2 linked regions of the Macaca fascicularis genome follow. The main gene of each other region encodes a partner of the protein of the gene in region 2 in a complex. Links are inferred from orthologs where the notes say so. Each region holds a gene or a part of one and is shown on either strand. Other genes may lie near its edges. The genes, in order: MMP2 and TIMP2.

The links.
Region 1: the proteins of TIMP2 (region 2) and MMP2 are in contact, whole or in part, in a crystal structure (PDB 1GXD), measured with the Homo sapiens proteins. The link is inferred for Macaca fascicularis from reciprocal best matches to the Homo sapiens genes TIMP2 and MMP2. Residues at the interface, in NP_003246.1 of Homo sapiens: Ile162, Pro163, Cys164, Tyr165, Ile166, Pro169, Leu173, Met175, Val178, Thr179, Phe191, Arg196, Asp198, Ser200, Cys201, Ala202, Trp203, Tyr204, Arg205, Ala208, Lys211, Gln212, Glu213, Phe214, Leu215, Asp216, Glu218; in NP_004521.1 of Homo sapiens: Trp574, Lys576, Asn577, Lys579, Tyr581, Phe588, Arg590, Lys595, Asp599, Phe602, Lys604, Ile606, Ala607, Asp608, Ala609, Trp610, Asn611, Ala612, Asp615, Tyr636, Leu638, Leu645, Lys646, Ser647, Val648, Lys649, Phe650, Gly651, Ser652.

The regions. Positions count from the first base shown.
Region 1 is NC_088394.1:51,465,930-51,481,672, reverse strand, and holds the start of MMP2 (72 kDa type IV collagenase), read right to left. Parts: upstream 8,302-15,743; 5' UTR 8,023-8,301; coding exon 7,870-8,022; intron 4,605-7,869; coding exon 4,378-4,604; intron 3,497-4,377; coding exon 3,348-3,496; intron 2,214-3,347; coding exon 2,085-2,213; intron 1,909-2,084; coding exon 1,735-1,908; intron 1-1,734.
Region 2 is NC_088390.1:85,322,384-85,338,108, forward strand, and holds the start of TIMP2 (metalloproteinase inhibitor 2), read right to left. Parts: upstream 8,456-15,725; 5' UTR 8,158-8,455; coding exon 8,028-8,157; intron 1-8,027. UniProt on the Homo sapiens protein: Complexes with metalloproteinases (such as collagenases) and irreversibly inactivates them by binding to their catalytic zinc cofactor. Known to act on MMP-1, MMP-2, MMP-3, MMP-7, MMP-8, MMP-9, MMP-10, MMP-13, MMP-14, MMP-15, MMP-16 and MMP-19.

The sequences.
Region 1 (15,743 bases), on a different chromosome or scaffold from region 2:
CTTGGAGTCCTGTATCCTCACTGCTCCCCTCTCTACCAAAAGACCTTGTCCTGCAATGCCAGAAAAAAATATCACCTAGAGAAAAGGCAAGACTGAGTCCAGATACCTTAGTGGCCTCAGAGTTGAGAAAGGCAAAGTGTTAACTTTGACCAATGCCAGCCCCCTGCCTCTGACCTCCCATCGGCCGCATTTCTACCACCCAGGAAGCCCCTGTCTCCTCCCAAATTCCCCTGACAAGGATGGCAAGAATCAGACACTGACTCAGCAGTCAGCAGGGGCTGAGTAACAAGAATCTCTGCCTCGAGACCCAGACACGTGCGTGTTGTGCGTACTTGCATCTGGCTAAGCACAAAGTAAATAACTAATGTCCAATGTAGGGAATAACCCTTCCCAAACTTTATGAAATACAGCTGTTTCCACATCTACCTATCATCAAAGCATTCTGTTCCTATCAGAGGGGTGACACAGGGAAGGGTTAATGCCACATGTAATCCCTACCGGGAAACGCAAGATACAAAAAATATTTTTATTTCAAAATTTCTGACTTATTAATGGTGAATGGCTTAAACTCTTACTTAATATAAAGTTTAGCTCTGGTAATAAAAGTGTAAACAGGAAAGGAATTAACTAGTTCTTTGTTTCTTTCGTTCTGTGAAGATGGTTGGTGCTTAGTTTTCAGTTACAATGGGGTTAGGGAGATTCACAGATGTAAAATTACAGACAAAAAGACAGTCTTTAGTCTATGTAGATTAAAGAGTCTTTGTGAGATGGGAAAGAAGATAGTGATAAAAATTTTTAGATTTTTTTCTGTTTTCCCCAGGTTTTCTGGGCTTTCAATCTGCAGAATTATCAAATATGATGACTTCATAGACTATGAAGTTACATACACCATCAAGACTATGAAGTGCGTTAAGGATATTTTTAGAAAGGATTGAGTGTGTATGTCAATATCTATACCCCATTTTAAAAGGTTTCCCCCATGTGGCTTCAAAATATCTGAAAATGTTGTGTCTCAGGCACTGACAAGCACACAAACACAAATACTGAGTCAAGCCTACAGTATTTATCAAGACACAGAGATGCAGACACAAGCTACACAGGAGGCAGAAAAAGACAGTGCCCAAGAGAGGCAGATGGTATAGCCCCTGTGCCCAGACACACATACACACACACACACACACACACACGCATTAGCAGAGGCAGCATCAGGACCAAGGCTGGAGCAATAGGTGAAATTCCTCGGTTGGAGTTCGCAAACCAGGTTGAGTCCAGCCCTGGTCTGAGTCCTGCCTCCTTATCACACTGCTAGGTTTCCAGCTACCAGCAAGCCTTTCCTCATGCCCTTGAAGTATCAATCTTGATTGAAGTATAAAGACTGGTTCTAGAGAGAACCACTGGGCATTGTAATAGTTCTAAGTTTACTCCAATATATGTAAGAAATAAATAATTAGCACATCAAATCTGTGACTCCTAAATGATTGCTAATGGTGAAACTTAAAAAAAAAAATCGACTTGATTTAATTAAAGTATTATGTTCATCATGGTACTGGTGGGAGAGAAACAACAATGGCTCAGATCAGGTTGGGGGGGAACTGAGTGAAGGATGTTGGAGGGATGCTCATTGACTGGCAGTGCCAGCCAGTCCTGGAGAGTGTGGAGGGTGGAGCACAGTGGGGAGCCGGGGAAGCTGGAAGCTTGAGGTGGAAAGTCTTGAGTACTAGAGTGGATGCTCACCTTCGTGGGGACAGAAGCCGTACTTGCCATCCTTCTCAAAGTTGTAGGTGGTAGAGCACCAGAGGAAGCCGTCGCTGCGGCCAGTGTCAGTACAGCTGTTGTACTCCTTGCCATTGAACAAGAAGGGGAACTTGCAGTACTCCCCATCGGCGTTCCCATACTTCACACGGACCACTAAAGGGTGACATGGAAGGGGGAGGTTGGACTTCTCCATGCCTTCTTTGGAGACCAAGATTCTGACTCACCCAGATGTGTGACTTTGCTCCCCTCCCACCTCTCCGGTCCAAGCAGATGGAGTGGAGAGAGGACAGGAGAGAAGGTCTGGGGCATGCAGAGGGCCCCTTTCTCACCTTGGCCTTCTCCCAAGGTCCATAGTTCATCATCGTCAAAGTGGGAGTCTCCCCCAACACCAGTGCCTGGGGCAAAGGCATGAGCCAGGAGTCCGTCCTTACCATCAAAGGGGTATCCGTCACCATGCTCTGAAACACACATTGGGTCTTAGCTTCCAGCTGTGCCACCTAGACCCTGAAACCCCTCCCACCCCATCTACATGTGGAGCCTGTCAGCCCACCCAGCACCTGTCCCCTTCCGTCATCCCAGTGGGGTTATCCAGGACTGCAAACACTGGGGCTCGGTAGAGATCTGCTGACCTGGTTGTTACCATCCTATGGTCTACACTGCTCTCCCAGGTTTACATGACTCCCAGTATCCATACCCGCTACCTTCATTGTCTACACTACCACGATGACACTATACCTACCACATACACACATTACCACACTAGTGTCCTCACCCCATCCTCATCAGCCCCAGTGTCTATGCCATCCACCCTCTTGTCAATACCACCCTCTTAACCACAATCCTGCCTTTATGTCACACTATCACCAATATCTGCAACACGAATCCTCATGCCCACCTTGTCACCAAGGCCTGTACCACCCACCCACTTGTCTACACTGTTTCCCATGCTCTTTACCTTCATCACTTACCACTCAGTGTCTATACCACCTACCTTTATGTCTGTGCTACTGGCAATGTTCACACCATAAACTCACATGGCCACCTGGCCCGGGGTTCTATGACCCTTCCTCTCATGTCTACACTGCTCCATTGTTTCCAAACCACTCTCATATATCTACACTTCCTCAGTATCTACCAGCATCATCCAACAGAGCTTTCTGTGATAAGAGGAAAATTCTTTGTCTGTGCTGTCCAAAATCAATAGCCACTAACCTCCTGTGTCTTTTGAGCACTTGAAATGTGCCCAATGTGACCTGGAAATCGATTTTAAATTTTTAACTAATTTAAATTTAAATAGCCATGTATATTCTACCCAATGGCTGCCATATTGGACAGCATAGTAGACCACTTGCTTCGGGTTTAGACGGCCTCCAGGTTACACCACAGCATACCATCTGCCCCTATGTCAACGTGGCTCTCCAGTGTCCACTCCGTGTTGTGTTGCCCCCATCTAAACCACCCCCAGGGTCCACACCATCTACTGTCCTATCTAAGCTGCCCTCAGGATCCCCACACCCCTCTAATGTCCATCTCGCCCCTTCGTCTCGACGCTGTTCCCTGCTGGCCCCTCTTCTGCCCCATCTTCTGCCTACCCCAGCGGCCAAAGTTGATCATGATGTCTGCCTCTCCATCATGGATTCGAGAAAACCGCAGTGGGGTCACATCACTCCAGACTTGGAAGGCACGAGCAAAGGCATCATCCACCGTCTCTGGGTCCAGATCAGGTGTGTAGCCAATGATCCTGGAGGTGGTAGAAATGCATGTGAGTGTGTATGCATGGGCATAAGTGTGTGCATATGCAAGTATGTGTGTGTGCACAGATATGTGAAAAAGTTTGAGTGTGTGTGTATGTGAACATACAAGTATATGCACAAGCATGGGAAGGGTGCACAAGTATGTGCATGTATATGTGAGCATGTGCCTGCATGTATGTGTGTGTAGGTTAGGCAGGGCTCACTGCCAAGAACAAACTTCCCAGGATACCTTGAAGACCCAGGGAGTCCCAGGCCAGCCAACATTTTTAGGCCTCAGCTCAGGAGTTCCATCTGTCACTTCTGGCTGGTGGGGGAGGGCCATAAGTGTGCATTATGGGGCATAAGGCAAAGATCTCACCATTGGAACCCAGCAGCAGCCATACAGAGCACAGCTCTCAGCCCAATTAGCAACAATTTATAACCCAATTGGGCTGCTAAACTCAATTAGCTACCAATCATCACGTTCCTTCTGCCCATCCCAATGACCTCAACTAAAAACAATAACAATGGCTAGCATTACTACACTCTTGCTCTGTGTCAAAAATCATAGAAGTCATTTGTATTAGTTCAGTCTAGGTTAGTTCCCCAACCAACCATGTGGGGAAGGGCATTTTTAAAGCCACATTTTGTAGATTGGAAAGCCAACATTCACAGCACTGAAAAGGAACCCAATGTCTGATGGCTAGCAAGTATGAAATTCAAGTCTGTCTGACTTCATTTTCTAAGAACTGTGTATTGAAACTCCCTAAGATGCCAAGCCTTCACAAAAGACACTTCATGGATCCCCTGAGTGGAGAGAATGCATGGGTCAAGGAGGCTCGTGTCCCTCAGCCCAATGGCCCTGCCTCCCCAAGCCCTGCCCTAGCACCTGTATGTGATCTGGTTCTTGTCCCACTTGGGCTTGCGGGGGAAGAAGTTGTAGTTGGCCACATCTGGGTTGCCGCAGCGCGGCTTCCGCATGGTCTCGATGGTATTCTGGTCAAGATCGCCTGTCTGGGGCAGTCCAAAGAACTTTTGCATCTTCTTTAGTGTGTCCTTCAGCACAAACAGGTTGCAACTCTCCTTGGGGCAGCCATAGAAGGTGTTCAGGTATTGCTGAAAGAAATGCACACCCCCAAGGCAAGCAGCCACATTAAGATGGCACAGTATTAACCAAAGCAGGCTGTAGCAATCAGCCCCCAACCCAGTGCCATAGTCCAGACAAGATATAAGCCAGGGGTCCCAGAGCACTGGGTGGAGTACTGGGTTCCCAAATCAGCACTGGCACCCCTTAGTTGAGCGACAGGACATACAGCTATAGAGAGCATAGCTACCGCTTGTTGGTGCTGGGTGCTGACTATATGCCCAGGCACGAAAGTCAGAATATGTTAATTCATTTAATGCTCAAAACTCTATAATGTAGATATACTATCCCTGTTATACAGAGGAGGAAACTGAAGCACAGAGAGGTTAAGAAACTTGCTTACGATCACACAGTTCACAAATGGTAGATCCGGATTTGGGACAAAGCAATCTGGCTCCAGAGCCTGTGCTAGGAAACGTGATACTCCAGCATCCTTCTTTTACCTCTATCAACTCTTTTATCTACCTTGCAGCTGGTGACTTGGGGACTTTTTTCTTCCTTTTTTCTTCTAAAGAGATTCAAAGACTATGTGCATGGGCTCTGGCAGCAGACAAACCTGGGTTCAAATCCTGAATCAGCCATTTGCAAAAATAAAGCAGTGCTGTCCTTCAGGAGCCATACAACTGGCCTTGCCCAAACAGGCCAAAACTGAGCAGGTCCCTGCAAAGAGGTTCAGGGAGCAACAGACTCATTTATTTAGTCAACAAATACTTTTTAGCACCTACCACGTACCAAGCCCAGTGCTACTGCTGAGGATAAATTGGTGAACAAGATAGACAGCTCTGTCTCTAAAGTTCAATCCTAGCAGGGAGGCTGATAGATCACAAATAAAACCAAAATGAAGTATGTGATAAGTGCCCTGTTGGAACGGTGAAAAGAGCCAGGAGATCGTCTGACAATGGTCCTAGCCTTCTTGGAAGTAGTTAAGAAAGGGGAAATCAAGGACATAATAATAATATAATAGGAATAATGACTAGTGCTTATTGAGTACTTACCATGTGCTAGGTAAGCACCTAAGATTACCTCTCTTTTAACCCTGAGATATGGAATTTCCCAGTTTGCAGATGAAGAAACTGAGAAGTCACTTGCCCAAGATCATCACTAGGCCAGCTAGTTAGTTCATGCACCCTTTGATTTGAAGCCAAGCGGTCTCAGTCCAGAGCTATCTTCTTAAGCCCCCCACTGCATTGCCTAGGGACAACACAGACTTCCGTTTGTCAGTGGTGTTCAAACCAGGCACCTCCATCTTGAGTAGGGGCTGGGTAAGATGAGGCTGAGACCTGCTGGGCTGCATTCCCAGGAGGGCAGGCATTCTTAGCCACAGAATGAGACAGGAGGTTGGCAGGACTGATTTCACAACATACAGGTCAGGTCACAAAGACCCCTATGATAAAACAGGATGCAGTAAAGAAGCTGGAGAAAGCCCACCCAAACCAAGACAGCAATGCAAGTGACCTCTGGTCGTGCTCACTGCTCATTATATGCTAATTATAATGTATTAGGATGTTAAATACATTAGACACTCCCACCAGCGCCATGACAGTTCATAAATGCCATAGCAACATGGAGAAGTTACCCTATATGGTCTAAGAGGGACAGGAACCCTCAGTTCCAGGAACTCCCCATCCCTTTTCCGGAAAACTCCTAAACAATCCACCCCTTGTTTAGCATATAATCAAGAAATAACCGTGTGTATACTCACTCAAGCAGCCCATTCCCTGGTCTGCCTATGGAATAATCACCCTTTTATTCCTTTAGCTTCTTAATAAATTTGTTTTCACTTTACTCTGTTGGCTGGCTCTTGAATTCCTTCCTGTTCCACGCCAAGAACCCATGTGGCCCCCAGGCTGAGCCCCAATTTAGGGGTTCATCCTGTGACCCATTGGCTGGAAAAAGTGTAAGGAACCCAAGCAGCTTTGTCATTGTCCCACAGCTCCACTCTCAGCCCCACCCAACAGCCACATCATTATGCTAGCCAGCTCCAGACCCTTGAAAAAAGTAGCCCTCTAAAAATGTACAGAGGTTTCCCAACCCATCTATCCAGAGGGGGCTGAGACTTAGCTGCCTGGAAAGGGTGAGAGTTGGGAGAGGGTAGGTGTCATCTCCTGAAGGAGTTCCTAGGGTGACCAGAGGTCATGGGCGTCTTCTCCCGGACAGGTTGAGGGGGAGGCTGGAGGGCAGGGTGGCTGAGGCAACAAGGGAGCAGATATCCCCCGGAGTGGAAAGGACATCTTGAAGGGTCCCTGGCTGGCCTCCCTCCTCAGGCCCTACTTACGCAACACTGCGGCCAGGCTCAGTGTCCCTCCAGCCAGGCGCGCGCACGCTCACAAGACAACATCTGAACCGCAGTTTGGGAACCCAGCCAGGAAGGAGGACTCGCTGGCCGCTCTCCGACCCTAGCGGAGCGCAGTCCGCCCCCGCCCCACGCGCCAGGCCCTCCAGCGCCTGCCCCACTCCTCCTCCCTCCTGCCGGGCAAGCTCTCTCCTTCTTTCCTCCGACCCTTTGGAGAAGTTCGAGGAAACTTTCCGAGGCCCAGCCCTTGACCAATTTGTCCATTAAGCCAGGTGAAAAAAGATGCGCTCTCTGCTTCCCTCCTGCCCCAATCACTTCCCAAATGGTCCCCTTGAGCTGTTTATTTAAAGGCCCCTCTCCGGATCTGTGCTGAAGGTTCCTAGAAGTTTGCCAAGCCCCGCGTTGGCTAAGCTCCCTCCCATCCTTATGCGCGCATAAATTTACCCAAATTGTGTGCCAGAGCCCCGTTCCCAAAGTCCTACATTAGCAAAAACGACCCCTTTAGCTGTCTGCCAAAGGCCTACCAAGACGCTTGGCGAGAGCCCTTAGCAACTGCCCAGATGTGTCCAAAAATTGTTTACAAAGACCGCCCCCCCTTGCCAAATGTCCCAGATACTAGAGGAGGTCCCCGCCATTTACATAAGAGTCCCTTTCCAGTAGTTTGCCAGGTCACCCCTCTCCCGCTCTCTGGCTTGTTTTTCGCCCCACTGCTGTATCCTGAAGGTTGCCAAATTGTTTATCAAAGGTCTTCTCTGCTTACAAAAGATCCCCCACCGTTTGCAAGACATCACTCCAATAGCTTACCAAAGACCCCCCAAGCTGTTTACCGAAGCCCCTCCCCCACACTGTGTGCCCACCGCCGAGGGCAGGGGGAGAGACACCCCCATGTTTTGCCTCCGAAGTTTGTCTAAACTTGGTTCCTTGAGGCCAGCGCAGCAACTCACCACTGCCAACTCTTTGTCCGTTTTGGGGGCAACATCGCCGGGGAACTTGATGATGGGCGACGGCGCGGCGGCGGCATGGCTCAGCAGGCAGCCCAGGAGGCAGAGCGCCCTCAGGGGACCCGTGAGCGCGCCCCGGGCCATTAGCGCCTCCATCGTTGCGCTCCCGGGCCCCGTGCGTCGCCCGGGGGTCGCTGGCTCCGTGCGTGTGGCCGCGTCGCCGCCTGGTTGGAGCCTGCTCTGCGGCTCAGGGCTGCGCTCCGAGGGTCCGCTGGCTCGGTGGCCTGGGTTTTGCCCGGCTCAGCGGCTCATGGTCCGGCCCCCGCGCCCCCGCTGCCGCCGCCGCCGCCGCCGCAGGTCCTGGCAATCCCTTTGTATGTTTAAAGCCCCAGATGCGCAGCCTCCAGCCACCGCCTGAGGAAGTCTGGATGCAGCGGAAACAAGGGAGGGCAGCCGCCAGATGTAGCCGGCTGGGCTGGGAGGGAGCTGGCTGGGCCGGGCTAGGGGTGGGGGGCGCATTCGGGCCCGCCCCTCTCTGCCCCACCCCCCTACTCGCCCTCCTCCGCTTTTCTCTCTTTTTCCCTTTCTCCACCTCTTTTCCCCGGCCGCCTGCTACTTCTGGCCTCCGCGTCCACCCTCAGTGCACGACCTCGTCACCCCACTTCCCTCTCTCGAGATCTGGGCGCACAGCCTCAGAACCCCTTGCTGGGAAACATCTGGCGCTGTCGCTCTAGGCCCTTGACGTCCTGAGGTTAGAGAGTGGTACTACTTGGAGGAACGCCGGCTGGGCCAGGACTCCCTGCACTCCCTGGGGTCAGGAACGGGAAGGAATGGTCAGAAACAGATGATCAGCCACATTGATAGATGGTCAGAGACAGAAATTTTCGATATTTAGAAATGGGGACAGAGAGGAATGAGATGAACAGAGATGGAAAGAGATAGAGAGATGGAAACAGAAACAGTGGAACGTCCCAGGTTGCTTCGCTACCTCTTTCCTTCTGCAAATGTGTAAGCCTTAACTTGGCCTCGCGTAGTGCGAGATGCTAGATACACCTTGGGAAACAGAGTAGTCACGGGCCCCGCGTTAGAGACGTTTGAACCAGAGCGACTCCATCTTGAACAGGGGGCTGGGTAAAATGAGGCTGAGACTTGCTGGGCTGCACTCCCAGGAGGGTCCGCATTCTCAGTCACAGGATGAGATAGAAATTGGTCAAGACTGGTTTAATAAGATAGAGGTCACAAAGACCCCACTGATGAAACAGTATGCAGTGAAGAAGCCAGCCAAAACCAAGATGGCAAAGAAAGGGACCTCTGGTCATCCTCACTGCTCATTTTATGCTAATTATAATGCATTAGCATGTTAAAGGAAGCACCCACCAGTGCCAAGGCAATTTATAAATGCCATGGCAATGTGGGGAGGTTTACCCTATATGGTCTAAAAAGGGGAGGAGCCCTCAGTTCCAGGAACTCCCCACTTACTCTTGAATCCTTTCCTGAGCCAAGCCAAGAATCCATGTGGCCTCTCAGGTTGAATGCCAATTTTGAGGTTCTCCCCGTGACAACATTCTCTGAGGAATGTCCTCTACCTCTGTCAGGAAAGACAGTTGAGAGATAAGCTGCGATGGGAAACTCTCGCAGGCTATTGGGAACACCTGACTTCAGCCCTTAAACTAGCAAAGACAATCAAGGAAGGCTTCCTGGAAGAAGTGACTTCTGAGTTGAGACCTGAAGAGCTAAAGATGTGGAGTGCTGGGTGGGGAATATGGGAAAAGTTTTAGGCACAATCTAGGGAACATTGGCAAAGGCCCAGAGATGAAAAACAGCAAGAGGCACTGGAGAAGGAAGTTTTTTCCATCTGAAAAAGGTGGGGCACAGGGTGAGGGGATGGAGCTGGAGGGGTCAGTAAGGACCAGCCTAGGAAGGGGGCAGATAGGACTGGGGTTCAGCAGGGAATAGTTTGAGAAGCAAGGTCAGGGGCTGAAAGAATCAGGAGCAATATGCTTGTGGAGGGCTTTGGAGGTCACGATTATGAGTCTTGATCATCACAGCTGGAAAAGTCTCTGCGGCTTGGGTCTCAGTGGGCTTCGGACAAGTTCAGGCTTGTCTGAAGGGGGGTGTGTGCTGCTGACTTGCCAGAGTCAGTTTTAAAGGAGCCTCTTGGGAGGGACCTTGCCCGGCAGGAGGGAACCAGGCCCTTCAGCCTGACCCAGTGAGAGACCTTGGCTGTTTTGGAGAGGGCAAGACTGAGGTCAGTTGGGAAGGGGGATTGCCTGCTGGCCCAGCCCCACTGGGCTCGTGTCCACGTCCTGTGAATAGCCAGAGAGCCAAGTTGGAGAGCTGAGAGCTGAGAGTGAAAATGGAAAAAGTTGTCTCACTAAAGCAGGGGCTGCAAACTCGTGGCCTGTGGGCTGAATCCAGCCTGAACAGCATTTTGAAATTTGGGACACTTCATGTAAAAATCTGACTTTCTGGTTTTCTTTTTTTAAAAAAATTTCCCAAAAATCTGGCAATACTGGATGCCAGTTTCCATATGGCAGTAATTTGCTGAAGCTGAGTAGTGACTGCTCCCTTTAGCTGGTTTGCCACAGTCCTCACCACTCTCTGTCGTATTGCCTTGTATGTGACTTCCTTCACTAGGTGTAGCTCATTTACACTTGCTCAGTTTGAGTTTTAACCTTTTCGGAAAATCTTTGGGGTCTACATAACATAGCTTTGGGGCTCCTCTGGCAGAGGGCAGCTTTGACTGTACCTCTTCACAGCCTCTGTGGTTATGGCATTCCAAGGGCATCGGTTTCCAGTGTACGGGCTTGGTGCCCATTCAGAGATGGCAATGGCTGCAGAAGCAGCATTCAGTGAGAGAGAGGCTTCTGTGCCCAGCAGTGACTATGTCAGAGGCATTGGAACCAGAGCAACTCCATCTTGAATAGGGGTTAGGTAAAATAAGGCTAAGACCTGCTGGCCTGCATTCCCAGCAAGTTAAGGCATTCCTAATCATGAAATGAGATAGGAGGCTGGTATAAGGTACAGGTCATAAAGACCTTGCTGATAAAACAGGTTGCAGTAAAGAAGCTGGCCAAGACCCACCAAAACCAAGATGATGATGAGAAAAACCTCTGGTCAGCCTTACTGCTACACTCCCACCAGCCCCACGACAGTTTACATGTGCCATGGCAACATCAGGAAGTAATCCTATATGGTCTAAAAGGGAGAAGCATGAATAATTTACCCCTTGTTTAGCATATAATCAAGAAATAACCATGAAAATGGGCAACCAGCAGCTCTTGGGGCTGATCTGCTGATGAAATAGCCATTCTTTCATTCCCTTACTTTCTTAATAAACTTGCTTTCACTTTATGGACTGCCTCAAATTCCTTCTTGTGTGACATCCAAGAACCCTCACTTGGGGCCTAGAATGGCCCAGGCGACAAGCAGAGAACAGGCAGTATCTGATGATAATGGGCTTGTTGGTGAGCACATGCAATATGCTCCAGGGCCCCTGTGCACTCCTGTAAATCTCTCTTCCCCTGCCATGGTAACCCTGGGAGCCCCGTGTTGATCTGGCAAAGTCATAAAGTGAAAGCAACTAGACCCACTACAGACTTTGTAAGTGAAAAACAAACTCTTATACAATGAACCACGGAGCTTTTGGGATATGTTTGTTACTGCAGCATCTTTTAGTCAATCTTAATGTAGAGGCAAAAATGCTGTTTAGTGGATAGAATTGTATTCCCCAAAAAGATATGTTCAAGTTCTAATGCCTGTGACTGTGCCCTCACATGGAAATAGGGTCTTTGCAGTTACAATCAAGTTAAGATGAGTGGGCTCTAATCCAATGCCTGTTATCATGATAAGAAGACAAAAATTTGGACACAGAGACACACAGCGAGAAGAACTCCATGTGACCATGGAGGCGGAAATTGGAGCAATGTAGCTGCAAGACAAGGAATGCCTGCAAGACAAGGAATGCCTGCAAGACAAGGAATTGCCTGCAACCCAGAAGCCAGAAGAGACAAGAAGGAATTCTTCTCCAGAGGCTTCAGAGGGATCATGGCCCTGCTGGCATGTTGAGTTTGGACTTCTAGTCTCCAGAACTCGGAGAGGATAAATTTCTGTTGTAAGCCACCCAGTCTGTAGTGTTTTCTTACAGCAGCCCCAGAAAACTACGTGGGCTGTGATTAGAAGACATCGTGATTTGACATGAATTCTGTCATTTATTCCGGACGTTTTTGATGAACACTGTTTTCGGTGCTGGGGTACAGTGGCATTAAGATAGTGTTTTATTGATGAAGACGCAGAAATGACAATGCGGGATGCTAAGCAGGGGACAGAGCATTGAGGGAGGTAGTGGCCATCTGCCATGTAAGCCTTCCCAAGACCCTGTTCTCCTACTTCTGGTTAGCTGCCCCTTAGTTTCCCATTGGGAAGCCACTTCTCCCCAACTCTAGGTCTGAGTTCAGCAGATATGACCCACCTCCTGGCTCTACAGTGGCGATGTGACCCAGGCTGGACTAAAAAGCAGATCCAGACATCTTGGCGAGGTGATGATTCAGATACTGGCTTGTGAATCCGTTGGAGCCAAGGAAAATTAATTCTGGGAGTTTAGCTGGAGGTACAGGTTACCTCATTTGATTCACACTTTGCCCTATTGTGCTGTGCAGATATAGCATTTTTGCAAATTGAAGGTTTGTGGCTACCCTGCGTCAAGCAAGCCTATTGATGTCATTTTCCCAATGGCATGTGCTCACCTCATGTCTGCGTGTCACATTTTGATAATTCTTGCCATATTTCCAAATGTTTCCTTATTATTATATCTGTTATAGTGATCTGTGATCAGTGATCTCTGATGTCACTATTTAATTGTTTTGAAGTGCCACAAATGTCAGGCCTCTGAGCCCAAGCTGAACCATCATATCCCCTGTGACCTGCACATATACATCCCAATGGCCGGTTCCTGCCTTAACTGATGACATTCCACTATAAAAGAAGTGAGAATGGCCAGTCACTGCCTTAAATGATGACATTACCTTGTGAAATTCCTTCTCCTGGCTCATCCTGGCTCAAAAGCTTCCCCGCTGAGCACCGTGTGACCCCCACCCCTGCCAGCCAGAGAACAACCCCCTTTGACTAATTTTCCTTTACCTACCCAAATCTTGTAAAATGGCATCACCCCTATCTCCCTTCACTGACTCTCTTTTTGGACTCAGCCCGCCTGCACCCAGGTGAAATAAACAGCCTTGTTGCTCACAGAAAGCCTGTTTGGTGGTCTCTTCACACGGACGCGAGTGAAAGCGAATACCAGGGTGAACTTAATCCATATACCAGAGTGAACTTAATCACCCTTGTGAATGTGTGTGTTTGACTGCTCTACCAACTGACGGGCCATTCCTCATTTCTCTCCCTTTCTGTGGGCTTCCCTATATCCTACGATCAACAATATCAACATGAGGTCAATTAATAACCATACGATGGCCTCTAAGTGTTCAGGTGAAAGGAAGGGCTGCACATTTCTCACTTTACATCAAAAGCTAGAAATGTTTAAGCTTAGTGAGAAAGGCATGCCAAAAGCCCTGAGAGACCGAAAACTAGTCCTCTTGCACCAGGTAGCCAAGTTGTGAATGCAAAGGAAAGCTCTTAAAGAAAATTCAAAGTGTTATCCCAGTGAACACACAAATTAAAAGAAAGTGAAACAGCCTTATTGTTGATACAGACAAAGTTTGAGTGGTCTGGATAGGAGAACAAAGCAGCCGTAACCTTCCCTTAAGATAAAGCTTAGACTAGAGCAAGGCTCCAACTTTCTTCAATTCTGTGAAGGCTGAGAGAGGTGAGGAAGCTGCAGAAGAAAAGTTTAAAGCTAGCAGAGGTTGGTTCATGAGGTTTAAGAAAAGAAGCCGTCTCCATAAGATAAAAGTACAAGGTAAGCAGTAAGTGCTGATGGAGAAGCTGTGACAAGTTATCCAGACGGTCTAGCTAAGACTGTTGATGAAGGTGGCTACACTAAACAACAGATTTTCATTGTAGATGAAACAGCTTTCTATTGAAAGAAGATCCCGTCTAGGACTTTTATATCTAGAGATGAGCAGTCAATGCCTGCTTCAAAGGACAGACTGACTCTCTTGTTGGGGGTTAATGCAGCTAGAGGCTTTAAGTTGAAGCCAATGCTTGCCTGCTAATTCAAAAATCTTGGGCCCTTAAGAACATTTCTTTCAAACTACCATTGCTTATTGAGAAGGCACCTGGCCACCCAAGAGCTCTGATTGAGATGTATGAGATTAATGTTTTCATGCCTGCTAACACAACATCCATTCTGCAGCCCATGGATCAAGGAGTAATTTTGATTTTCAGGTCTTATTATTTAAGAAATGTATTTCATAAGGCTATAGCTGTCATACATAATGATTCCTCTGATGGATCTGGGCAAAGTAAATTGAAAATCTTCTGAAAAGGATTCACCGTTTCAGATGCCCATAAAAACATTCATGATTTCATGGGAGGAGGTCAAAATATCAACATACCAGGAGTTTGGAAGAAGTCAATTTCAACTCTCATGGATGACTTTGAGAGGCTCAAGACTTCAGTGGAGGAAGTAATTGCAGATGTGATAGAAATAACAAGAGAATTAGAATTAGAAGTAGAGCCTAAAGATGTGACTGAATTGCTGTAATCTCATGATCAAACTAGAACAGATAAGGAGCTGCTTATGGATGAGCAAAGAAAATGGTTTCTAGAGACAGAAATCTACTCTTGGTGAAGATGCTGTGAACATTGTTGAAATGACAACAAAATATTTAGAATATTCCATAAACTTAGTTGATAAAGGAGTGGTGGCAGGGTTTGGGAGGATTTACTCAAATTTTGAAGGAAGTTTTAGTGTAGATAAAATGCTATCAAACAGCATTTCATGCTACAGAGAAATCTTCTGTGAAAAGAAGGGTCAATCGATGCAGCAAACTGTATTATTGTCTTATTTTAGGCAATTGCCACAGCCACCCGAGCCTTCAGCAAGCACCACCCTGATCAGTCAGCAGCCATCATCAATGAGGCAACACTCTTCGTCAGCAAAAAGACGATGACTCACTGAAGGCTCAGATGATTGTTCGCATTTTTTTTTTTTTTTTTTTTAGCAATCGAGTGTTTTTAAATTAGAGTACGTACATTGTTTTTTAAACATAATGCTATGACACACTTAATAGACTATAACATAATGTAAACATAACTGGTTTTTTTTGAAACAGGGTCTTATACTCTGTCACCCAGGCTGGAGTGCAGTGATACAATCATGGCTCACTGCAGCTTCTACCTCCTGGGCTCAAGTGATACTCCCACATCCGCCTCCCGAGTAGCTGGGATCACAGGTATGCACTACCATGCCCAGCTAATTTTTTTGTGGAGACAGGGTCTCACTATGTTGCCCAGGCTGGTCTCAAATTCCTGGGCTTAAGCAATGCTGCCCCCTCAGCTTTCCAAATTGCTGGGATTACAAGTATGAGCCACTATGCCCTGCCCATAACTTTTATGTGTATTGAGAAACCAAAAATCGTGTGTGACTTGCTTTATTGCAATATTTGCTTCATGGTGGCTGCCTGGAATTGAACTTGCAGCATCTAGGAGTTATGCCTATATTTGGGATGCATCTACACTTTCAGCTATAAATGAAGTTGGTCTGACCTAAGGTTGGAACTACCTTTAAGGTTAGAGGCTTCCCGAGGTTGAAGTTTCTCCAATGGGAACAGAGCCAAAAAATCAGTGGAAACCCTGGACCCAGCCCTGCCTGTAGCCAGATGTATCCTTCATTTTCTAGTTTGTGAGCCAATAAATCTCCTCCTGTCAACCCTTGAGTTTTGTTTTGTTTTTGCTTAAAGCTGCCTGGGTTGAGTTGC
Region 2 (15,725 bases):
CCTCCCTCAGGGCTGGGTGGGGAGGAACAAGAACACAAAGACAGGGAGAGCCAGGGTTCGATGCAGAAAGAGCCGGTGTCCCCCACTAGCTCCAAGAGCTTCCTGGGAGGCAGGAAATTTGCCTCTCCTTTTTGGCAGTGTGGAAGCGGAGGCAGAGAGAGGCCACCTGTCCCAGATCGCTCTGCTGGACTCAGTCTGGGGCCAGCGTTTGACCCCTGCTCACCCTGTTTGCTATGAATGTCAGTTCCCGTCGCTACTGCTGGCTCCCTTCCCCCTCAATGCACCGTTTCCTGTTCCCTCCAAGGCCCCGTTACACAGTTTCTACTGTCTGCTGAAGTTCTAGCTCAATTCCCTCTCGCTTGGACTTTCTGGTCACCAGATTCCAGCAGAACTCAACAGAGACCTGCACTCACCTGAGCTCCAGACCAGGTTAGAGGGCAGCTGGCTCCCGGGCACTGGGTCAGGTACCAGAGGCATCTCCCTCTGTGCCCGCCCGCGACCCGTGGCCCTGCTCAGGGTCTGCCTTCCATCTCTTGGGTCCTCCCCAGTGCAGGTGCCAACTCTGCTCCCCTGGTGACTGTGAGCCTCTCAACACCACCTTCCTCCTCGGTGTCATCCCCCTCCTGTCCACCCCTCTCCCCAGTGCAGGGGCCATAAAGCCTTCCCCGGGGTCCCACTCCTGGGTCCCACTGCCTGGCCTCCAGGCTTTGCTGCTCCGCCTGGGCTCAAGCCCGGCCACACTTTGTTCTAATTACTCTGTCCCACTGTGGTACACTCTCTACCACAGCCACCCTGGGCTCCCCCCTGCCCACCCCAGGACCTTTCCTTAGCTCTGATAAGATCCACCCCTCAGGGCCCACAATCTCACCACTGTCTTCACCAGGATAAGAGTCTCTAGCACGAGGTGCAGCCTGCAGGATGATCTTCGCATTCCTGCGCTCATTTCCCTGAAGACAGGCACCATGGCTTTGGTGTTCCAGACCAGCCTGGCCAACAGGGTGAAACCCCATCTCTACTAAAAATACAAAAATTAGCCGGGCGTGGCGTGGCGGTGCGCACCTGTAATCCCAGCTACTGGGGAGGCTGAGGCAGGAGAATTGCTTGAACCCAGGAGGCGGAGGTTGCAGTGAGCCAAGATCACACCATTGCACTCCAGCCTGGGTGACAGAGCGACACTCCATCTCAAAAAAACTAAATTCCTTGAAACACTTGCCATAGTATTTTTGTGTGTGGTGGGCACCCAAATTCTACTGTAAAACAAAATATAAAAACCCTTAAGCGAATAAATTCCATAAGAAGCAGGTATTTAAGACATAGACACCAGGCCCTTCCTAACTGTTGAGGTCTGGAGTTCCTTCAGGCCATGTGTGCTCCAGCTCTGATCAGAGTTTCAGACGAAAAAGCAGCTGCCGTCTACCAAGGATGCCTTCCCCATGGAAGACAACCACAGAACCGCCCAGGTCTTTGGAGCCATCCCTGAGACCAGCTAGGAGGCCAAAGGACACTGTTGGCATCCTTTCCCCAGAGCTGGTTACAGATCTGCCTCAGACACCCCCCATGGTGGTAATGTCTGAGCGGGCCCTGGCTACCCAGGGCGGCCAAGTGCAGAATGAGGGTGCGAGAGCAGAGAAAGGCAAGATCGTTACCATTGCTCAGCTCTGAGACCAGGCAGATACTCATAGCAAACAGAAGACTTGAAACCTATAAGACCCTTTTAAATGGCAGTGACTTAACCTTTGGAGGGCCACATGCCCCTTTGAGAAGTTGGCGGCTGCCACTGTCCACAAAAAAACATGGATGCGTGCGCGCGCACGCACACACACAACTTCACTTACAGTTTCAGGGCTTGTGACCACCCCCAAGCCCACCAGGCCTATCTCCGGCTGGGTGTTCGTACGCTCTGAGTTAAGACCCCTCTTTTATAAAGACTGTTCCTCAACTTGCTTCTTAGAGCAAACACACTCTCAACCTGACTTGCGGGGGCTCCAGAAGCTTTCCCTGGGCTCCAGTGTGACCTGGCTGACGGGGGAGTAGCTCAGCCCTCAGTTGTAAGGTGGGGGTCATCGGGGCTGGGTCTCTGTGCCCTTCCCTCTGCTTCTGGACAGCCACGCCCCAACAAATGCACAAGGGCACTAGGGCGTCAGGGCACAGGCACTGGGGACTCCAGCCCACTCAGGTTGCAGGGGTCCAGGCAGGTGGGCCCTGGGAGGTCCTGAGGACACCAGCTTCATCCTGCCTGCCACTCTGAGACATCCATGCTCCTGACCATCTCCCCATTGGGAAGTCTGGGTCTGCCCCCCTTCCCTCCTCCCAGCAATCTCAGGGCAGCTCATCTGCTTGCTTACCCCGCCCCCCGACACTGAGGTGGTCAGAGTCTCCACACTTTCTGTTCAGACCCATGGGCAACAAAACAAAACCTTGGCCAAGCACTCACAATATCAGATACTCATTAAAAAATTATACATAGGCCGGGCACCATGGCTCACGCCTGTAATCCCAGCACTTTGGGAGGCCAAAGTGGGCAGATCACTTGAGCTCAGGAGTTTGAGACCAGCCTGGGCAACATGGCGAAACCCCATCTCTACAAAAAATTCAAAAAATTAGCTGGGCATGGTGGCTGCTTGGGAGACTGAGGTGGCGGGATCGCTTGGGCCCAGGAAGTTGAGGCTGCAGTGATCTGTGATTGTACCACTGGACTCTGGCCTGGGTGACAGAGCCAGACTCCGTCTCAAGAAAAAGTAAAAGACCATCGTAGCCATGCAACCACTTGCCCTCAGTCCCTGGTTTGTGAGCCTGTGCATGCACCGGGGGATAGAGGGAGCGTCCAGGGCACGCTCCCCTCCTGCCCCAGCCACTGCCACGTCTGCCTGTCTTGGCTTCCTTCTTATCTCCTCCTCCCTACTGTTGCATCCATCCTCACAGCTGCCTGAGAAGCCTTAGGCAGACCTCTTGGTTGTTTCGGAACACACGAGATTCAACCGTACATGCGACCCCCACTTCATCGAGTCAGTGGTTCTGCGTCAGGACCGAGGTGGCTGCCTGCGCCTCTCGGTCTCCCAGGAGTCATCTATGCCCTGTTCTCCATGTGCTCAGATGTCACCACAGGGTCTGAACCTCTCAGCCCACACCAGTGGCATCTACCTAGCAACCTGGCTGGGACAGCAGGGAGGAGGGAGGCAGGTACCCAAGCCCACCTGCAGCTCACAAACCACAGGCTGGGACTGCGGAAGTGGCTCCGCACCACCAGAAGCGTGCAAATGGCGGAGGCCCGAGACACTCCCAGGCTGGCTATGCGCGGCCTGGAGGTACGGCAGGTGCTCGAAGGAGCTCTCCCAACAACACACATTTCTCCCTATGTGGGATCTGAGGACATTGCCAGCCTGGGAGACATTTCTCCCTGTGTGGGATCTGAGGACATTGCCAGCCTGGGAGACATTTCTCCCTGTGTGGGATCTGAGGACATTGCCAGCCTGGGAGAAATGTGTGTTGTTGGGAGAGCTCCTTCGAGCACCTGCCGTACCTCCAGGCCGCGCACAGCTCTCCCTGCTCTTCCAGTCTCCCTGCCTTGGGAGCTGCCAGCAAATTCAGGGGCCAGTGACTCCCCTGGCAGATCCCGTCCCTCCAAGGACACTGTTCAAAACCAAGCCAAAGAGCCCCAGTTCTCCCCGCAGCTCCCTCCTCAACCTACCATGGGGCCTTCTATCACCTCTTGCGAATGCATTTCACATTGTTACATGATTACTTCTGAATTTTGGTTATTTCGAAAGTTTATCTGTTGTTAATTATTTACCCAAACCACATTGAGTGGACTGACTTTATACCACAGCCCGGCAGTTGAGGAGGGGAGGCCTGCTCACCACGCCCTGCAGCGGGAACCCCCTTCCACACTGCCTGGTGCCGAGATGTACAGTTCCACCCCCTGCGTCCCCCACGACAGGGTTAATGTCTTGCTTCTCCCTTACATACCCTGGGGCAGAGGCAGCCACTCCATAATTGCTTGTTGAAACACAGACAAGCCCGATACAAAAATCAAGATGAACGAAACTAACAATACAGATCAATCACATACTTTGCACAACAAGTCGCCAACAGTTTCTTTAAAAAGCGCCACCCCTGCCCCCTTACATGGAAGGCCTGACCCAGCTCACGTGAATCTGATGCTGTGTTGCTTTTCCTGAGCACGTGTCCTGAAGACAGAGCCATTTTTGACTGCGTGCTGTGTGTTTTCTGGGGTGGCCCCTACTCTCTGTCTGGTCCCTGTCTCTGTGTCCCACAGAAACCATGTCTCCCTTGGCCGTTCACCCCAGGAAACAACAGGTGTTCCCCTCTTGGCTGTGGACCCCTCTCTAGCTGGAGCTGGAGATCTTGGGGGGCTTTGCAGAGGGCAGTTTCTGGAGATGGGAACATGTGGGGCAGATGTCATCACAGAGGTCTTCTAGGATAATGTGGCTTTAGGTACCGCCATCCAAGCCAGAGAAGAGGTTTCATTCTCTGCATCCAGAGAGCTCCTGGCTTTACCCTTGAGTCCAGAAACCAGCCCAAGCAGCCTGAGTCTGCCAAGTAGCTCAGCTGGCTAAGTGGCTCCAGGCATGGTACTGCCTGAATGGTGAGCCCAAAGCTAATTTCCAGCCAGATCCCTGTAGCTGTGCAGGCTGGCAGTAGATGTGAAGGATTTCACTGGGTGAGAGGGAGCCGGGCCAGCAGCGCGTTTGAATAGTGCTGTAACTGAGACACAAAATGCTTCCTGTTTGTGCTGGTCTTGCTGGAAAGGACGAGGACCTGGGGCCTTCCAGGAAGAAACCAGGTCATCTCTTACCATCCCTTATCCTAAACATCGCCATCTCATAATGAATTATCTTTGCCAACCACAGTTCCAGTCCTACCAGCTGCAAGAGCTGCTAGGGAGATACCTCCCAGAAATCCTTAGCCGGGCAGACAGAAATCTGACTGTTTCTTAAGCCAGTTGCCTCTTGTAGACACCAAGCCATTTAACAAGCCTGCATGCAGCCAAGAGTAAAAGGAGCCAGCTCGCCACATAACAAGCCTGCCTTTATTAACCCCCACTGTACCCCCTTTCTGAGACCCCTGAGTCACAGCCCTGGTTAAATCACCTGTGGGCCTTTTAAACTGCAAAAGCTGAAGTCTGAGCCAGATGCTCTGTATCTGCAAAGGGATCCAGACCTGAGTAATCTTTAAGAATCTTCCAGGCATTCTGCTCTAAGCCAGAATGGGGAACCATCGCTGAGAAAGTCACAAACCTGCATCGCTTCAAGGAGAATCGAACACTGGAGAATAGACAGACCACTGTCTTCCCTGTGGGATTTGTTCCGGGGCCCTACCCTGGGATGTCCTGGGTTGTTTATCCCAAGTTGGTTGAGCACGGAAAGGGTGACTGGGAATAAGAGACGGCAGCCTGGATGTACTGGGTTGAATTGTGTCCCCCTCAAATGCACATCTACTCAGATCCTGTGAATATGACCTTATTTGGAAATAGGGTATTTGTTGATATATCAAGATGAAGTCATACTGGATTAGGGTGGGCCCTAAATCCAATGGCTGCTGTCCTTATAAGAAGATGGAAATTTGGCCGGGCGCGGCAGCTCACGCCTGTAATCCCAGCACTTTGGGAGGCTGAGGCAGGTGGATCACCTGAGGCCAGGAGTTCGAGACCAGCCTGGCCAACATGGCGAATCCCTGTCTCTACTAAAAATACAAAAAATTAGCCGGGTGTGGTGGCAGATGCCTGTAATCCCAGCTACTCGGGAGGCTGAGGCAGGAGAATTGCCTGAACTCAGGAGGCGGAGGCTGCCATGAGCCGAGATCTTGCTACTGCACTCCAGCCTGGCTGTCTCAAAAAAAAAAAAAAAAAAAAAAAAAAAAAAAAAAAAGAAAGAAAAAAGGAACAGGGAAATTTGGACACAGAGACACCCAAGAGAGAAGCCCATGTGAAGACAGAGGCCGAAATGGAAGTGATGTGTCTACAAACCAAGGAACATCAAGGAGAGAGGCCTGAAAGAGATTCTCCCTCTCAGCCTCGGAAGGAACCAGCTCTGCGGACGCCTTTTCGGACTTCTGGCCCCCTGAGCTACAGAGAATCCATTCCTGTTCTTTTAAGAATCCCGGTTTGTGGTCGTCTGTCACAGCGGCCACAGGAAGCGAATGCCCTGAGCTCTGCAGTGCACCTCTGGCATCTGACTGGGCCTCTGAGCTGGGATGGGGTGAAAAGTTTTAGCTAAAGGATGATGTTGATGCAAAGATTTAGACACAAATGCCAGGCAACCCAGGAAAAGGAGAGTGTTGTGCCAAGCATGAAGGAGGCAGGAGGCACGAACTGCAGCCCTCCGCCCTCTGCCATCCTGGATCCACACCCCACGCAGAAACAGCTCCCAGCTTAGTGGCCGCCTTAACTTATGCCAAGCAAGGACAGAGTGGCTGCCTGGACATTCTCCCACACAGCTGAGGAGTGTGTGTGTGGGTGCGGGGGGAGCGGGGAGGAGGGTCCCAAGGCCCAACTCCTACGAATCCACCTCCCAAGTCCTTCTTGCCGCAGCCTCCTTCTGGGCCTTGGCTACATCCTGCCCCACCACGTGCTGGTCAGCCCAAGAGCCTGGACAGGCCTGCATTCCCCATGGACCCCCAGAGAAAGGCCCATTATGGCTCCCTCATCAAAGGAGCCTCTCCTTCACCCCCAAATCTTGCTGAGCACCAAGGCTAAACTGGAGAAAAGACCTCATTTCCCCCAAACTGGGTTTTGTGGAAACTGTGACACAGGCACACGCCACGCCTTCCACCCATGTGGCCTGAGCCACCTGAGACCTGCGATCCCAATAGATTGGCGCAACTGAAAACTTCCCCGGCTGGGGAGGCAGCTCCCAGGGCTAACTGGGGTGGGGCAAGAAGCCGTGGGTGGGTATGGGAAGGGCGTGGCTGACAGCAGGAGAAACAGAAACTCCCACCTCCAGTCTGGGCAGGTGAGGGGCCCCCGCCTTGCTCCATCTGCCCTGGACAGGCCACTCGACTGAGACTCAGACATAAGGAGGAAGGAGGGCAGGGGGCTCTGAGACCACTTGCTGTGTAGCCAGACTTGTCCCAGGAAAACCATGCTGACCAGCACCAGTGCTGCAGAGGCTTGAGGTGTAGGACCAGGGTGGAAACTTCGGGCCAGCGGGTTCCTCCCATTTCTGCTGGTCCTCCATGGATCAGAACAAATAACTGGGCCCCTCCTCCCTCCCTCCATGGCGCCTGTCTTTTGGGGGCTAGGAGTCCTGAGGTCATGGGTATTTGCTGGGGAATCTCAGCCACACAGTCCCACGTGCCGGGTCCAGTCATCAAAGTCTCCAGCTTTTGTGGACGTCCCGAAAAAGCGGAACATTCGGGGGTCCCGGTCCCTGCCCAGCCAGTTTGCAGGGCCTCCTGGGCAGGGCACGAAAAAGGAGCCAGGCCAGGGGACGCCACTGGCTTTTCTCACCTGTCCCTCTGGGCCTGTGGAACCTGCCTCGGGTAGGGCGGGCTTCCATCTCATCCTGGCTTGATCGGGGAGCCCCCAAATGGGGCTGGTGGGAGAAGCCCCGCAGAGAAGCCCTTCCCCACCCAGCCCCAAGCCCAAAGAAGCCCAACTCCCACCTTATCTGCGAAAGTTTCTTCCTGGGGTCCCCAGTCCTCCAGCCCCCCGCCCCCACGCCGTGTCCCCCACGCTCCCTGCCCCCAGCGCTGGCATCCCAGGGTGCGCCGCCTGCCAAAAGCCAAACTGGCTCCCTTTCCTGGGGCTGGAGCTGCGGCGGAATTTCGGTGGAATTTTGAGGTTGAGACGCATCTCGGCAAAGAGAGGGAAAGAAAGGGAGAGGAGGGAGGGGTGAAAGAAAGTCGGCTCTGGGCGTCCACTTGCAAGATTCGAGAAGACGCCGAGGGACCAGGAGGCGGGCGCTGTGGTCCCTCGGCCAGCGGCGGGCGGGCGGGGCGTCCGCGAACCCACGGGGGTCGTGGGGGAGGTGGGGCCCCGCGCGGGGGCGGGGGTCGCCGCTCCTTACCTACATCTGCATTGCAAAACGCCTGTTGCGGGTGCACCGGGGAGCAGCTGCAGGCGTCGGCCGGGCGAAGCAGCGTCGCCAGCAGCAGGAGGCCGAGCGCCAGCCGCAGGGTGCGGGCCGCGGCGCCCATGGCGGGCCGGGGAGCTGGGCGAGCGGGGGCCGCCGCCGGGGGTCCGGGCGCTGCTCGCGGCGGCGGGCTGGGGGCGCGGGCGGGGGCTGAGCCGGGGCCGAGGCGGGCCCCTCCCGCGCGGCTCACCCTCCTCACCTGCCCCTCTCGGCCGCGCAAACTTTCTCTCCTCTTTGTCTCGGGGGCGCGAGGGGAGGGGCGCGGGGCGCAGTTCGCCGGGCGGGGCGGCGGGGTGGGGGGCGGCGGGCGAGCGGCGCTGCGGCTCCCGGCGGCCGCGCTGCCTTCTACGGATGTGTTTGCTGCGGGCTCGGGCCGTGCCGCCGTTTTATTGCGCTCGGAGGATTTTCTGCTCCTCCTCCCGGTGGCTGGCGGCCAATGCAGGCTCCGGGCGCTCCCAGCAGCCCCCTCCTCCCCCTCCGCCCGCGCCTCCCCCCAGCCCGCGCTTTTGTTGTGCCCGGCCTGGCACGTCGGGGGCTTCCCGCACCACCTGGCGCCCGCGGCCCACACCCGTGCGGGGGTCCCCGGACGCCCCCAGCCCCCCGACCCCTGTCCCCGCTGGGTGGCCTTCAGCGCCCGGGGGCCCTGACTCAGCGCGTGGGACTCGCGCCCCGTCCCTCCAGGGCACCGGGCCACCCACCCGCCACCCTTTCCCCTCCAGCTCGACTCTGGAGTGCTACGCTGCTCCGTCCCCCGCCACCCCGGGGTCCCTTCGAGCTCAGCCTCGAGGCGAGCCAAGGGGTGTCCTTTGGAGCAGGGGCCGTTCCCTATCGCCGCCTCCCCGTTCCTGTGGGCGGGTGGCCAACTGAGAAACAGACAGGATCCCTTTTTCAAATGGAGGCCTTAGAATTTCAAGTGCGCCTGGCCAGTTTAGTTGGGGGGTGGGGGTGTGGTTACTGTGAACAAAACAGGATTTTATATAAACTGGCCATATTTTTGACCAGCCAACAAGAGACGGGGGTGGGCCCAGGCGCCCAGGAGCCAGTAGGATCGCAGCAGAGGCATTGGCTGGGCTCCGCTCACAGTTTCCTCTCTTAGCCCACAAATGTGGGAGCCGAAGGACTTTTCCCAAAACAGTTTTGTGTTCCAGGAAAGACCCAGGCATATGAAGGGATGAACATGTGTAGGGTGGTGAGGCGGGCCTCCTGGCTGTGAACCTGCCTGCGCCCGGCTGCGGGCACCCACCCTGCACATCCGGTGTGTGCCCCGAGGGGCTCCGTGGACACTGCTGCACTGAGATCAGCATTCCAGGGTGTTTACAGTCCAGCTAGGGAGATGGAAGCCTAGGAAAATGACACAAGAAGAATCAGGGCGGGCACGGTGGCTTGCGCCTGTAATCCCTGCACTTTGGGAGGCCCAGACCGGAGGATCACTTGAGGCCAGGAGTTTGAGACCAGCCTGGCCAACATTTAGTAGAGACAGTGAAACCCCGTCTCTACTAAAAATACAAAAATTAGCCTGGTGTGGTGGTGCACGCCTGTAGTCCCAGCTACTCAGGAGGTTGAGGCAGGAGAATCGCTTGAACCCAAGAGGCGGAGGTTGCAGTGAGCAGAGATGGCGCCACTGCACTCCAGCCTGGGCGACAGAGCAAGACTCCGTTTTAAAAAAAAGAGAAGAATTGTCCGCTAAACTGTGCAGTGCTGACTTGAGGTATGAAATTTTGGAAAATAGTGAAAGAATGGAAAAACAGCTTCTTTCTGTTTGTGTATGCTTTGTAACAGCTCTGAGAAAAGTTAAATAAGCAGAGCCGTTATTTTTAGCACCCTGACAAATCCAAAGTCACTTTTTCAGTTTTTGTTAGCGTGAAATAGAGTTGTGTCGTTCACAAAATGATGTTTGAAGCTAACGTTTAAAAGTACAGTTAATTCAGAAAATTGTTATGTGCTGGCTGCCTGCAACCATTTCATTGTTTTCTTTCCTTCTTTTTGGTTACAAGGAGAACAAAATGCGGTTGAGCTTGTGTTTCAATTTGTCAGTTCATGATAGAAACAGGTAGCTTAGGGGCTCTCGGTCTTTTAGACAAGCTCTACACATAAATGATCAGGTACATGTTAGGGTGATAAATACTTAGAGCAGCCGTGGTGCCTACAACCAAGGGGGCGGGGCCAATATGGATGTACCTGGGAGGAAAGGCGGGCCTGGGCTCCAGGGTCAGGGGGCATGAGACTGGAACTTCCAACCCAAGGCCTCGCACCTGCGTCCTGGACTGCCCTCCCCGAAGACATCCGCACCAGCACACAAACAGGCTGGAATTGCTCCCAGGAAAAGTTAAGCAGAAATCTTGCCAGGTGCAGTGGCTCACGCCTGTAATCCCAACACTTTGGGAAACTAAGGTGGGAGGATCGCTTGAGGCCAGGAATTTGAGACCAGCCTGAGGAATATAGTGAGACCCTTCTCTACAAAAAAAAAAAAAAAAAAAAAAATTAGCTGGGCGTGATGGCGCACACTTGTAGTCCCAGCTACAGGGAAGCTGTGGTGGGAGGATCGCTTGAGCCTAGGGAAGTCAAGTCTGCGGTGAGCAGAGATCGCACCACTGCACTCCAGCCTTGGTGACAGAGTGAGACCCTGTCTAAAAACGAAACAAAAATCTTCTCTCCCCCTCAATTCCCCCACCAGAGAGTACCCTACTTTTCTGCTGCCTCTACCATTATCTCCTCCAAACAGGTCTCTAAACCAGAAGTTTCCAGCTTTCTTTTCCTCCCTTTTCTCTTGGTTCTCTCTCTCTCTCTCTCTCTCCCTCCTTCCTCCGTCCATCAACAAATACTCATTTGAGCATCTGCTGTAGCCTGGACACCGTCCTAAGAGTGAGATTCAGTGTCTAGAGAACAGAGGAACATCCCTGGAACAGCAGGTGGAAGCACGCAAGGCTCCAAGGTTGGAAGGTGCTGGACCTGGTGGAGCCCGTGGTGTGGCAGAGGAGTGAGAGGAAGGAGGGCTGAGGCAGGAGGCCAGGAGCAGGGGCTGGGAGGGGACACAGCGGAAGGCAGCCACATTACCGGGAGGATGTGCATTTTGTTCTGAGTGAGGTGGGATCCTTTGGAGGGTTCTGAGCAGAGGGGCAGGATCGGACGCATCCTCTGGAAGGATGGGACTGTGGTGAGGGGCCCAGGTGAGGGCAGGGAGCCCAGTGAAAGGGCAGGTGCTGCAGATGCAGAGACTCCAGAGCCACAAAATGGTGAGCACAGAACCCCTTTCTGGTTCAGTGCCGTGAATGGCTGACCTGGGGCTGTAGAGTCAGATGCAGAGAGGACTGAGGTCTGAGGGGCCAAATGACTCTCCCAAGGGCACAGCAGGGAAGTGAGAGGGCAGTCCCAGAAGCCAGGCCTCCCTCACAGCCCACAACTCCCAGCTTGCTGACCCAGCCATCTCCCTGCTGCTTGGGGCCCTCAGGGTCTTGGCTCCTGAGCCAGCTTCTGTCCCATTGACCACGCTCCACCTTCTTTTCCAGTTAGGGTCCTCCCACCTCAAAACCAAGGAAACTGAGGCCTCACACTAGGAACCTAATGAAGACAGGGAGTAGACTGGAATCTGGCTCATGGCAGCACAAACCCACTTTTTCTTTCTTTTTTCTCTTTTTTTTTTTTTTTTTTTTTTTAGAGACAGGGTCTTGCTCTGTCACCCAACCTGGAGTGCAGTGGCTCAATCTCAGCTCACTGCAACCTCTGCCTCCCAGGCTCAAGTGATCCTCCCACCTCAGCCTCCTTCGTAGTGGGGACCACAGGTGTGCCCCACCACACCTGGCAATTTTTATTTTTTATTTTTTATTTTTTTAGACAAAGTCTCGCTCTGTTGCCCAGGCTGGAGTGCAGTGGCACGATCTCAGCTCACTGCAAGCTCCACCTCCCGGGTTCATGCCATTCTGCCTCTGCCTCCCGAGTAGCTGGGACTACAGGCGCCCGCCACCACATCTGGCTATTTTTTTTTTTTTTTGTATTTTTTAGTAGAGACGGGGTTTCACCGTGTTAGCCAGGATGGTCTCAATCTCCTGACCTCGTGATCCACCCGTCTCGGCCTCCCAAAGTGCTAGGATTACAGGCGTGAGCCACCGCACCCGGCCACACCTGGCTATTTTTTGTATTTTTTGTAGAGATGCAGCTTCTGCAAACCGCTCCTTCTCCTTGTCCTTCTCTGTGCTCTGTGGCCAGGAGGGCTCAACCTTGCAAGACAAACTTGAACACGGGGAAGGGCCGCCACCCACAGGGGAAGGGACATATGCCCCACGCCCAGGGCAAGAGAGGAAAGAGCAAAGCTGACCCCGGGTTGGGAGCTCCCTCCACTGTTTCACTGCCTTTTTTTTTTTTTTTTTTTTTTTTAAAGACAGATTTTTACTCTGTCTCCCACTGGAGTGCAGTGGCGCCATCTCGGCTCACTGCAATCTCTGCCTCCCAAGTTCAGGCAATTCTCGTGCCTCAGCCTCCCAAGCAGCAGGAATTACAGGCGCCCACCATCACACCCTGCTAATTTTTGTATTTTAAATAGAGAGAGGGTTTCACCATGTTGCCCAGGCTGGTCTGGAACTCCTGCGCTCAGGTGATCTGCCCGCCTCGGCCTCCCACAGTGCTGGGATTACAGGCATGAGCCACCACGCCCAGCCCATTGCTTCAGCCCCCTTCACTTCTCATCTTGATATTGGTGGGTGGACTACCGGGGGACCATAGGGGACATCCAGCCCAGCCACAGCCTGGGGGACCCTGGCTTGGACCAGTTTAAGAGCAGAGGCTCTCAGCCTCTCAGGACAGACAGGAGCATGAGGGAGCCCTGTGAAGTGTGGGGGTGATTTCAGGGCCCTCAGACCACACTCCAGGGGCCACCGCTTCCCACGAGGAACATCGCCTGGCTCCCCTACCCGCTTAAAGAGACCTTCCCGGCAGAGAGCACAGCAGAGCTGTCAGGCATGTGTGCACCCGTGCCCAAACACACCCGGCAAACACGTCCCAGGCTGGACATGGTGAATGCTGTCTGGGGCCGGAGGAAGTGCCAAGGCCTACTCCCTGTTGCTTCCGTCTCAGGCCACCAGGCAGGATGCCCTCCCTGCGGTACCGGGCTGGCAGGAGGACACTGCTCTTCTCGGCGGCCTCGCCCTCCCAGGCTGGATGAGAGCCATCTTCCCCTGAGCAGGTCGCGTTCTCTTTCTGGAGACAGCTTGAGTGGACCCGAAGCGCCCCCACTCTTTCTAGGAGGTTCCCAGAGAGCCAGATGTTCTCATCCAGAGACAGCATGGACTTTGGCCCCACACAGCTGGGAAACTGACCCCCTGCTGACAGCTGAAACTCTGCCCTCAGGGGAGTGTCCGGGCAGTCTCAGGGGGCAGGGAGCTGGCAGCTGTAGGGAAAGATGGGGACCATGTCTGAGTCTGGCTGTCTGGGAGCTGACACATCAGTCAGGTGACACATGGCTCTCAGCGAGGAGCAGGCAGCTCATCTGTGCCTCCCTATCCAGCCGGACCTCAGACTCTTGGTCACAATGGGCACCCAGCCCAGGTTTCCGTCCCCAACGTCCACTGGTGGGGCTGTTCGCCACAGGACATCCTGAAGATGACAAGAAGGTGAGACAAGAGTGATGGCTGGGCATGGTGGCTCACGCTTGTAATCCTAACACTTCGGGAGGCCGAGGTGGGCAGATCACTTGAGGTCAGGAGTTTGAGACCAGGCTGGCCAACATGGTGACACCCCATCTTTACTAAAAATACAAAAATTAGCCGGAATTCACTTGAACCAGGGAGGCAGAGGTTGCAGTGAGCCAAGATCATGCCACTGCACCCCAGCCTGGGCAACAGAGCAAGACTCCATCTCAAAAAAAAAAAAAATAATAATAGAGTGACTGGGACCCACCGTGCTTGAGAAAAGATCCACAGGCAGCATGAGCTGCTCATCTGTTCTGTGGCGAACGTGCTGAAGGGCATTTCGACATGGATTTCATTCGTATTATTCTTCATTAGGGGCCGGGCTTCTCAGCCTTGGCACAGTTGACATTTGGGCCAGATCCCTCTTTGTGGGGGGCTGTCCTGGGCACTGTAGAGTGTTCAGCACCATCCCTGGCCTAGACCCACTAGATGCCAGCACCTCTCCAATTGTGACCATCAAAAATGTCTTAAGATATTGCAAAATGGCCCTGGTTGGAAACCACTAACTGATAAAAGTCTTCGGTCCTGAGCAAAGCAAGGTGCAGAGACATAGGAACAAAAAGGTTCTATTTCATAGAGAACAATAATGCAGATAGGAGAGTGAAGGTCCCCACAGCCTGGAGACCAAGGCACGCACCACGCTGCTGACACCGATTGTCAGGGGAGTGAGGCCAGGCACAGAATTGATTTTTTTTTCTTTTTTGAGACGGAGTCTCGTTCTGTCACCCATGCTGGAGTACAGTGGCACGATCTCAGCTCACTGCAACCTCTACCTCCCAGGTTCAAGCGATTCTCCTGCCTCGCCTTCCAAGTAGCTGGGATTAGAGGCACCTGTCACCACGCCCAGCTAATTTTTGTGGTTTTAGTGGAGATGGGGTTTTACTATGCTGGTTGGGCTGGTCTCGAACTCCTACCTCAAGTGATCTGCCCACCTCAGCCTCCCTAAGTGCTGGGATTACAGGCATGAGCCACCGTACCTGGCCGAAAAAGATTTCTTTTAAGTGTCCATGGTATGGACAAAGTGTCTTGTGCCTGTAATCTCAGAACTTTGGGAGGCTGAGGCAGGAGGATCACCTGATGCCAGGAGTTTGAGACCAGCCTGAGAAACACAGTGAGACCCATCTTGACAAAGAATTAAAGAAATTAGGTGGCCGAGACCAGGTGCAGTGGCTCATGCCTGTAATCTCAGCACTTTGGGAAGCCAAGGCAGGTGAATCACTTGAGGCCAGGAGTTCCAGAGCAGCCTGGCCAACATGGCGAAACCCTGTCTCTACTAAAAATACAAAAAGTTAGCTGGGCGTGGTGGCATGCCTGTAGTCCCAGCTACCTGAGAGGCTGAGGCGCGAGAATCACTTGCACCCAGGAGGCAGAGTTTGCAGTGAGCTGAGATCGTGCCTCTGCACTCCAGCCTGGGTGATAGAGCGAGACTCTGCCAAAAAAGAAAAGGAAAAGAAAAAGAAAAAGACAAAAGACAAAGAGAAGGAAGGAAGGAAAGAGAGAGAGAGAAAGAAAAAAAAGAAAGAAAGAAAAAGAAAGAAGGAAAAAAAGAAAGAAAGAAAAAAGAAGAAAGAGAAAGAAGAAAGAAAGAAAGAAGAAAGAGAGAGAAAGAAAGAAAGAGAAAGAAAGAGAAAGAAAGAAAGAAGCTGGGCATGGGGGCACGTGCCTGTAGTCTCAGCTTTTCGGGAGGCTGAGGTAGGAGGATCACTTGAACTCAGGAGGCGGAGTTTGCAGTGAGCTGAGATCGTGCCTCTGCACTCCAGCCTGGGTGATAGAGTGAGACTCTGCCAAAAAAGAAAAGGAAAAGAAAAAAGACAAAGAAAGAAAGAAGGAAGGAAAGAGAGAAAGAAAGAAAAAAGAAAGAAGAAGAAAGAAAACAAGGAAGGAAGGAGGAAGGGAGGGAGGGAGGGAGGGAAGGAAGGAGGGAGGGAGGGAGGGAGGGAGGGAAGGAAGG